2 linked regions of the Oryzias latipes genome follow. The protein of the gene in region 1 purifies or fractionates together with the protein of each later gene. This does not show direct contact. Links are inferred from orthologs where the notes say so. Each region holds a gene or a part of one and is shown in the gene's direction. Other genes may lie near its edges.

What was found. The genes of interacting proteins can lie anywhere in the genome.
Region 2: the proteins of pomk (region 1) and tmem59 purify together in Homo sapiens (affinity purification with mass spectrometry; 3 studies listed by BioGRID and IntAct, with this or other methods). This does not show direct contact. The link is inferred for Oryzias latipes from reciprocal best matches to the Homo sapiens genes POMK and TMEM59.

What each region holds. Positions count from the first base shown.
Region 1 is NC_019870.2:26,977,461-26,981,506, reverse strand, and holds the start of pomk (protein O-mannose kinase), read left to right. Parts: upstream 1-1,246; 5' UTR 1,247-3,093; coding exon of another isoform or gene 3,094-3,099; 5' UTR 3,100-3,450; coding exon 3,451-3,606; exon of another isoform or gene 3,607-3,736; coding exon 3,737-4,018; intron 4,019-4,046. Other genes in the region: pam (peptidyl-glycine alpha-amidating monooxygenase), read right to left, coding at 485-495, 710-840. UniProt on the Homo sapiens protein: Protein O-mannose kinase that specifically mediates phosphorylation at the 6-position of an O-mannose of the trisaccharide (N-acetylgalactosamine (GalNAc)-beta-1,3-N-acetylglucosamine (GlcNAc)-beta-1,4-mannose) to generate phosphorylated O-mannosyl trisaccharide (N-acetylgalactosamine-beta-1,3-N-acetylglucosamine-beta-1,4-(phosphate-6-)mannose).
Region 2 is NC_019875.2:30,980,302-30,984,452, forward strand, and holds tmem59 (transmembrane protein 59), read left to right. Parts: upstream 1-1,351; 5' UTR 1,352-1,422; coding exon 1,423-1,587; intron 1,588-1,694; coding exon 1,695-1,800; intron 1,801-1,898; coding exon 1,899-1,993; intron 1,994-2,098; coding exon 2,099-2,251; intron 2,252-2,325; coding exon 2,326-2,398; intron 2,399-2,657; coding exon 2,658-2,781; intron 2,782-2,882; coding exon 2,883-3,000; intron 3,001-3,229; coding exon 3,230-3,382; 3' UTR 3,383-3,926; downstream 3,927-4,151. Other genes in the region: lrrc42 (leucine-rich repeat-containing protein 42), read right to left, coding at 4,012-4,151.

The sequences.
Region 1 (4,046 bases):
AAGAAACTGTAGAAGCTCAGAGGTTCTGCCTGCAGCGAAACCTGATCTCTGGAGAGTCCAAACGCTCTTCTCCTGTGTTTTGGATATACTTCTCCTGCAGCAGGGCCACATCTGCAGCAGACAGTAGGTTTACATCTGCAGCAGGTCCACATCTGCAGCAGACAGTAGGTTTACATCTGCAGCAGCAGGGAGTTCAACTTCGTTTATGACCGGAAGTCGTCCGCAGCCACAGACCTTCCGATCCCCGGGGACCCGAAAGGCTGACAGCGAGGCTCAGTGAGGATCGATGGGGACCGAAGGCAGAGCGGTTCTCACGATCCGCTTCTCGGTGACTCATCGCTGTGGGGGGTGGGAGTGGGAGGGGGGACCGAGCCGGAGCCGAACCAACCACCACACCACAGAACACACAACAAACCGGACCGGAACAAATACGATCAGCAGGGATAACCCGGGAAAAGAAAGCGGTACCCGCGCTGCAACACACCTGAGCCGTACCTGAGGAGGAAGAGGAGGAGAGGATCAGGATGCGGAGCTGTTGTGTGACGTAGCTCCCCAAGGTTAGCTAGCGTTTAGCTCCTCGGTTTGTCGTTTCCGCGATTTCTTGACAGATAATTAAACAGAACCGTGCAACCGGAAACGAACAAGAGCTCGCGCCTCTTTGTAAACCAGTTCGAGGACCAACGTCCCACAGGCACGTTCAAACTGATACCTGTCTGCGCACACGTCCACTCTGCCTGTGACGTCGGTCTGTTGAAAACAGCAGTGACGCCAGCACTTCCTGTTTTCAGAATAAAAGCAGCTTCCGCTGCGGCAGCTAGTGCTAGCTAGCATCGTTAGCATTTCACAGTTACAATGGTTCGATTATCTGTAATAAATAAAAAAAATACAATACACTCAGTCGGATCGGAACCCACTCACATGCAAAACGTCTGAAACTTTCTGTGGAAATTTAGTTAACTGACAGTTTTCATCTTATTTGCTGTTTGTTGACAGTTTTCCTCTTATTTTCTGCTTTTTTTTGTAACCAGAAAAACAACCTAAAAATGTAGTCTTTAGTAAGCATGACCGATTTCAATGTTTAAATCCAAATTTAATTTAAAGCACGAGTTCTGAATAATTGGATTGGATAAAGGACTCTAATCTGGAATGATTCATGACAACTGTTTTGAAAATGTATATGATCCAGGAAAATGTTAAAATTTTGTATTTTCATATATCTTTGTTTCATTGTAGACCATGACATTTTCAGACATTTTAAATGAGTAAAGTAAATAAATAAATCAGCCTATGTCCACAATGCACCTCTTTATCTATAAATTGGGAATGTGAAGTTTAATTCTCATAAATGTTACAGTGTGATTTGTCAAAAATCAAAATTCACACTGAAATGAACTGTTACTATGTTTTGGGGAATGTTTCGTTACTCGTTTCTTTCACCGAAAAACAAAAAAAAAGTAGCAATAGTGTTAAAATAAAGAATAGATGGATTTGAAAACTGACTTCAAAGAGGTCCCAGTTCTGCAAGAGAAATGTCCTCTTCGCTTAAGCCCCTAACCCTGAATTTTTTTCCAGATGTTTTACCACATGTTTATGCTTTCAAGTAGATGCTAAACTAAGGTAATTTTGGAGCAGAAATATGCATCAATAGGTGTCAAGGGGGTTAAGAACATAGCGACTCAAAAGGGAAAAAACAATAAAGAGACTTGTGTTTATTTGGCAGCAACACAGAAAATCAAATCTACAGGCAAAAGAGAAGGTTTTGTAAAATATCTACACATGTGAAAGGGATATAAAAATGTATACTTTTTTCACATTGTCATCTGGGTTTTTCTGGTTGAGTCATTGCTTCATCACCAAAGGTTCCCTCTAAACCAATCAGCTCACAGCAGCGTAAGTCACCTGCTTCCTCTTTATCTAGCAATGTTGGTGTGCGAGGAAGCTGATAACCAAATCGCTGACCTCGCATGACCATTTTAACTCTCCCAACTCCTCTGAGATGAGAAGTCAGAAATGTGGTTGAGAAACCTCACATGACATGCAGTCTTTACACAACAGCTGAATAAACCACATCTGCTCTGGAGGTGAAACGTGTTTTATAGAGGAGACGTCCTCACAACTGCAGCCGTTGTCCAGGAAACGCAGAGATGAACTGAAGGATCGCAGCTTCATCACAATGTTTCAGCAAAGAGCAGGAAAAAACAAATTCTTCATGTTCTTAGTCAAATCAAACCGTCTCTGTATCACAAGAGAGCAAACGAGGAGAACACCATCTGTGGAGCTTTTTGAGCTCCTGCATGAACAACAGTCACAGTCCATCTGAGGAAACGCCGAAGCTCTTCATCATATTTGATGGTTTCTCCACTCGTGTTTTATGTTGTTTCTACCGGAACAAACCGTGGAGTGGCCGTTTTTGTGGACATACACAAATGTTTCCTTAATACCAAACCATCTTTTTTCATTTGTTACCATCATGGAAAAGAAAACTGCTATAAATTTCATGTGTCATTTACAGTTTATGGATAATCCCTAATTTGTAACTGCTTCTTGTCATGTCTATAGGTTATATCCCCTTTTTATCTTATATTATGCATTTACTTGGCCTACTGTGAATTCTCTTATTGACCCTTTAGCATTGCTATGTTTTCTGTTCCGTCTGTTCCGACTCTCATTTGTTGATTTTACACCTTTGCCACAACTGTTGTAAACGTTATCATTTCTCGTGGACACTGAGGTTCTTTGATGTCCCAGAGGTTCCTGATGTTCTGCCTTCAGACTAAAAGCAGGGCACAGGCTGCCCCTGGTCCGGGTGGTGCAGGTGGATGAAGCCAATGAGTTATATCGCTCATTGGATGAAGCCTTTCTTCTACCACCAGCCCAGCAGGGGGCGCTGCAGCCTCGAAGAAACCCGCGCGCGTCCAGCGCCATAGCAGAAAAGAAGCTGCTCGTGAGCGCGCGCGCCGAGGGGGGCAGATATGCCAGAAACACGCGCGTACGTGGAGCTTTCCGGATCATGAGAGACCCAGGAGAAAAACTCACGTTGGATCGGGAGTGCGAGCACACTGAAGAGGAGAAGAGCGGGAGGAGACTGTTGACATGGCGGTGAGTGACGTCACTGCGTTACCTGGCGACGGCGTATTTATGTCCGTCGATGTTGTGCGGTGAAAGCGCGTGTCGTTCCGCGGAGCCGCAGGGAGCCATCCATCCATCCATCCATCCACCCCTCTGTCATCTGCGCAGACGCAGACTCGCTGCCGACCGCCACTGCGGTAGAATGATGCAGTCTGCTTCTGCAGGTCACATCTGGTCCTGGATCAGCTGCACGGTCCGCTTCACCCGCAGAACAGCTCTCAATGGTTCTGATAGAAACCCTCAGCATTCTTGTGGGTGTTTGAGTCAGCAGGTTGAGGCTGGTTCTGGTGGTTCTGATGTGTTCGTGTTGGACCACTACGAATGCCGGACCTAATCTTTCTGTCTGCTGACTGCTGTTGTTCCTCTAAAGCAGTGACCTCTTCTGCTGGGAGCTGCAGCCCCGAGGGGGCGGAGCTTCCACGTGTTGCCATCACATCTGCAGAGAGACATCACGTGCACGTGTTCACAAGAACCTCAGTAAGAGAGCAGAGTCTGCTGAGCAGTAATCCCTTCCAAGAGTAGAGTAATAGATGACAGCAGCCAATCATTGGTCAGAATTAAGCCTCCGTTCTCTGGTTTCCACTTACTTTTGTTTTTGTGTCTGCAGAGGATGCCGGGCCGTCTGTCGGGCCAGCGCAGCAGAACCTCCCTTAGTCTGGCTGGACTCATGACCTGCCTTGCTGCCTTGCTCGTCAGCACTGGGGTGATTTACCTGTATGTGGACTCCCTGCAGGGCGCGGCCGAGCAGGCCGGTTACCCTCAGACCGCCTGCAGACCAGGACACTTTAAAATCTCCAGCATGAAGAGCTGCGCAGCCTGGCTGCAGTGTGCCCAGGTGCGTGCAGACGTCCGGCAGCTGAAGCTGATCGGCCAAGGAGCCGTGAAGAAGGTGAGATCACAGGTGAAACATCTGTAAC
Region 2 (4,151 bases), on another chromosome or scaffold:
CACATTCAATCATGATAAAACATCGCGAGAAAAGGGGAGGACGCACGTTAAAAGTTCTTATAGTTAAAGTAATAAATTACAGAAACGGTTGGTGCTAAATAAAGGAAATCTGTGTATTTTGTTACTCTTTCTGCAAACAGTGGATCACTGAAGTAACAATGAACAAGGTTTATTTTATACCAATGGTAACTGAAACCAGCAGCATTCATATTACCTTATTAGAAACTAGTTTACTTGAAAGATTTTATTTTTTTAAACATTTTCTACGGATAATCATTTTGTTTTTAATGATAAACATCATACAAACATTTGCATTCATGCAACAAAAAGAACTCAAAAATCATCTGTGGTTATATTTTATTGTTGCCTTTAAAGGTTAAGGATAACATTCAACACATGAGTAAAGGAAATGCATATACAAGACAATTAAAATACCCATTGATGATAAAAATAGGCTACATAGCATTGATCATACTAAGGGGCAGAACAATTTTTAAATTCAATCGAATGTTAAAAGTTTTTTATTGATTCAAGCCATTTTCAGCAATAAAAACAAGAAAAGACAATAAAGATCAAACTAAACATTTATAAAGATATCTTATCTCCTTACATCTTATATCTATATTCTTAATCAATTATAACATACAATTGTAATATAATTTGAGATATTACAAGGTCTTTACCATGCAAAATCAACTTTTTGAGCTTTTAAGTTTATTTTAATGTCCGTTCCTTCCAAAAAACAAACCCTAAGCTGTATTTTGATCCATTCATCTGTCTTCATCTGCTTCCAGAACGCGGGTTAAAGTAACTGCATCTACTCGTGAGAAAAAGAAAAAAAGAAAGAGGGGATCCTCTTACATCCACGGTAAATTTGCTGCCTGAACTGAAGCACAAATGCAGGATTTGTCAGAAAAATGAACCTGAGCGGCTCTGCTGGTGGCATGACATGGTTATCACCAGCATCATGCTCAATGCACGGATCAGAGACGGACAGAGAATGCTGACATCAACAACCATAACAGAAGAGTGAAATCTTACCAGCAATACTTTTAAATACTTCGTTACAGTAAAGCTGAACATGTTTCTGTTCTGTGTTGTTTCTGTTATCAGTGACTCTCACCACAGCTGCCTTCATGCTCCTCCCATGAACTGTTATGGCTTCTGTCTGTATTTTATGTTAAAGATGTCTTAAAAATTCCCCAGCTCCCTCAATATTCTACAAACGGGTCTGAAATGGGAATTAAAATAGTAAACAATTTTTTAAAAAGCGTCTAAAAGTGGTTTTAATTAATCACTGTTGTACGTTTTCCAGTACTCCGTGAACGCGACATTGAGCATCGCGAGAGTTCGGATCGGGACGAGACTTCAGAGCGCTTAAGGAGGACTGGGAAGCGGATCCTGTTTGTTTTCGTAGAGAAAATGGTTTCTCTCTCCGCTTTCAGCCTCACCTGCGGACTCCTGGTCCTCCTGTGTTCCGGCCTCGCGGCGCTCGCGGCCTCGGACGTGTTTGAAACCGTTCTGGGGAGCACCGCGTCCTGCCGCGGCTCCTGTGAAATGACCTATAGTCTGCATACGTACCCGCGGGTGAGTGTCGGGACGGCGGCTCGGTCGGAGCGGCTGGCGATGTCGCTGTTTGGGGCGGGCCTCCGCCGCTGAGCGCCCCCGGTAACCGCTCCGGTGTCCGTCCACAGGAGGAGGAGCTGTACGCCTGCCGGAGGGGCTGCCGCCTCTTCTCCATCTGCCAGTTCGTTCGTGACGGCGGGGATCTGAACCGGACCAAGTCCGAATGTGAAGCCAGTAAGACGAGCCGCACGAGCGCGGCTCCCCGCGCGCGATGCATCCAGCCAGGTAGTCCTGAAAAGGTGATGTCTCTAAACGCTTCTGCTGACCCGCAGCCTGCCAGGAGGCCTACAGCCAGTCCGAGGAGCAGTTTGCCTGCAGCCTGGGCTGCCAGAACCAGCTTCCGTTCGCAGAGCAGAGGCACGAGCAGGTAACGAACTCCACCCGCGCGGGCGCACGCCCCACCTGCAGCCGCACGCCCCACCTGCAGCCGCACGCCTCACCTGCAGCCGCACGCCTGTCTCTGTGTTCTTAGCTGGAGATCATGGTGCCCAGGATCCACCTCCTGTACCCCCTCACGCTGGTCAGAGGCTTCTGGGATGACGTCATGAGTCAGGCCCACAGCCTCATCACCTCCACCTGGACCTTTTACCTCCAGGCTGATGATGGAAAAGTGGTCATTTTCCAGGTGAGAGCCGAGTCGCGCCGTTAGCCTTTGTCCAGGTGAGCCCGGTCATGGAAAGCAGCTCTTCTGCCCAACAGGCTGAACCTCAGGTGAAGGTTTTCCCCTGGTTTGGTCCGGACAGCAGAGCTGAAGACGACCTGCAGCAGATCTGTAAGCCTCCCTGATCTAAGTGAACGCACAGCTCTCATCCAGAGCTCACAGGTCGGCCTTTTTGTTAGAATCCCGCTACACGCATCCATGTGTTCCTGTGCAGAACCGCCTCCACGTGTTTATGGCTCTAATGTTCATTTGTGTGGCGCGTGTCATTTCTGGGGGGGGGGGCTCTGTGGAGGTGGACTTCTAGCTTCTGAACGCCACAACAGCCGAGCTCTGCTCTTCCCACACGCATAACCATCTCCTGGTTTCTCAGCTCCCGGACTCGGCAGACCCGTCTACAGGGAATACGACCGCGCACTCATCCAGGAGCGAGACAGAGACGTGACCGGCGTCCAGAGCTTCTACGACGAATACAACCTCTTCAGCTGTCTCTCAAGGTTTGTGCGCACGCTCGGGCCCGTCACCAGGAGACGGCACCGTCAGCTGAACGGTGCGACACCGAGGATCTGCTGGGTCACCGTTCCTGTTCTCTCTGCAGGAACCCCTGGCTGCCTGGATGGATCCTGACCACCACTCTGGTCCTGTCGGTGTTGGTCCTCGTTTGGATCTGCTGTGCTACCGTGGCGACGGCTGTGGACCAGTATGTTCCTTCAGAGGTAGGTCTGCCGCAGCATCAAACCCAAATGTTTTCTGAGAGAAGGGACGGGTTGTTCTTCAAATACAGTTTTCTCCATTGGGTTTGAATAGAAACTATAGAAAATCAATGGATCACTGAGTCATTTCTCCAAAAGCTTTTCAAACAGTCGGTGGACCGGAGGGACCTGATGTCCTGCAGACCCTTAGTGAGGGTTGGTAGAAACTCAAGCCTCAATAATGTTTCTACAGAAACTCAGCATCTATGGAGACAGCGAGCATCTCCCAGAGAAGAAGCTGACCCCTTACCCAGCATCCTCTCTGCTCATCATCACCTCCAAAGGGCTGGATGAAAAGGCAGGACCCCTCCCTACCAAGGTGGACCTGAACCGGTCCAGCATTTAGACGCTGCTGTGCAGAAGAGAACGTGGTTGATTTGAAACTTCTGCTCTAACCCTGCAGTGCTGATGGCTGTTTTCTATCGAGTGTCTTTCCTCCATCTCACCTTCAGGGAAACAAACGTGTTTTTATATGATTGAGGCATTAGGACATGGTGGTGGACGTGAAGACGGTTTTTCATTGTTAGCTCCCTGCTTTATTTTATTTCTATTAAAGGTTTGAATTCTGACATGTTTCCTCCTGCTCAGTAAAACCTGCTTATGGATGTGGCTCTGAAGATCTCCATGTGGACGGTACAGAGAGGAACGCTCTCCGGCTTCAGTGTTCTCTTAATGACGAGTCAGAATAAACATGACAGTCTCTGTTCTGATTTTATTCCTTTAAAAACATCTCGGAAGAAGCATTCCTTCAGCAGCGACTCGGCTGCGTTTCCCCCAGTCCGTGTTTGTGACTCGGATCTAAAGGTTCATTTATGGCAGTGGTTCCTGGTTTCTATCCTTTCGGATCTCCTGCCGTTAAGCTGCAATAATAAAATGACAACGGTCCAACATTTCCACGCGTCTGGTGTTTCTGTGCCTCCGGTGATGGCTGCTCTGCTTTTGTGGAAAGCTGCACGGCCGCCTGCGTCTCCTCCCTCAGTAGCTGCTCAGCAGATCCATGTCCTCTGCAGTCAGAGCTGAGGAGACGCCACGCTTTCTCGGGGGGCTCTGGTGGGAGACGCCACGCTTTCTCGGGGGGCTCTGGTGGGAGACGCCACGCTTTCTCGGGGGGCTCT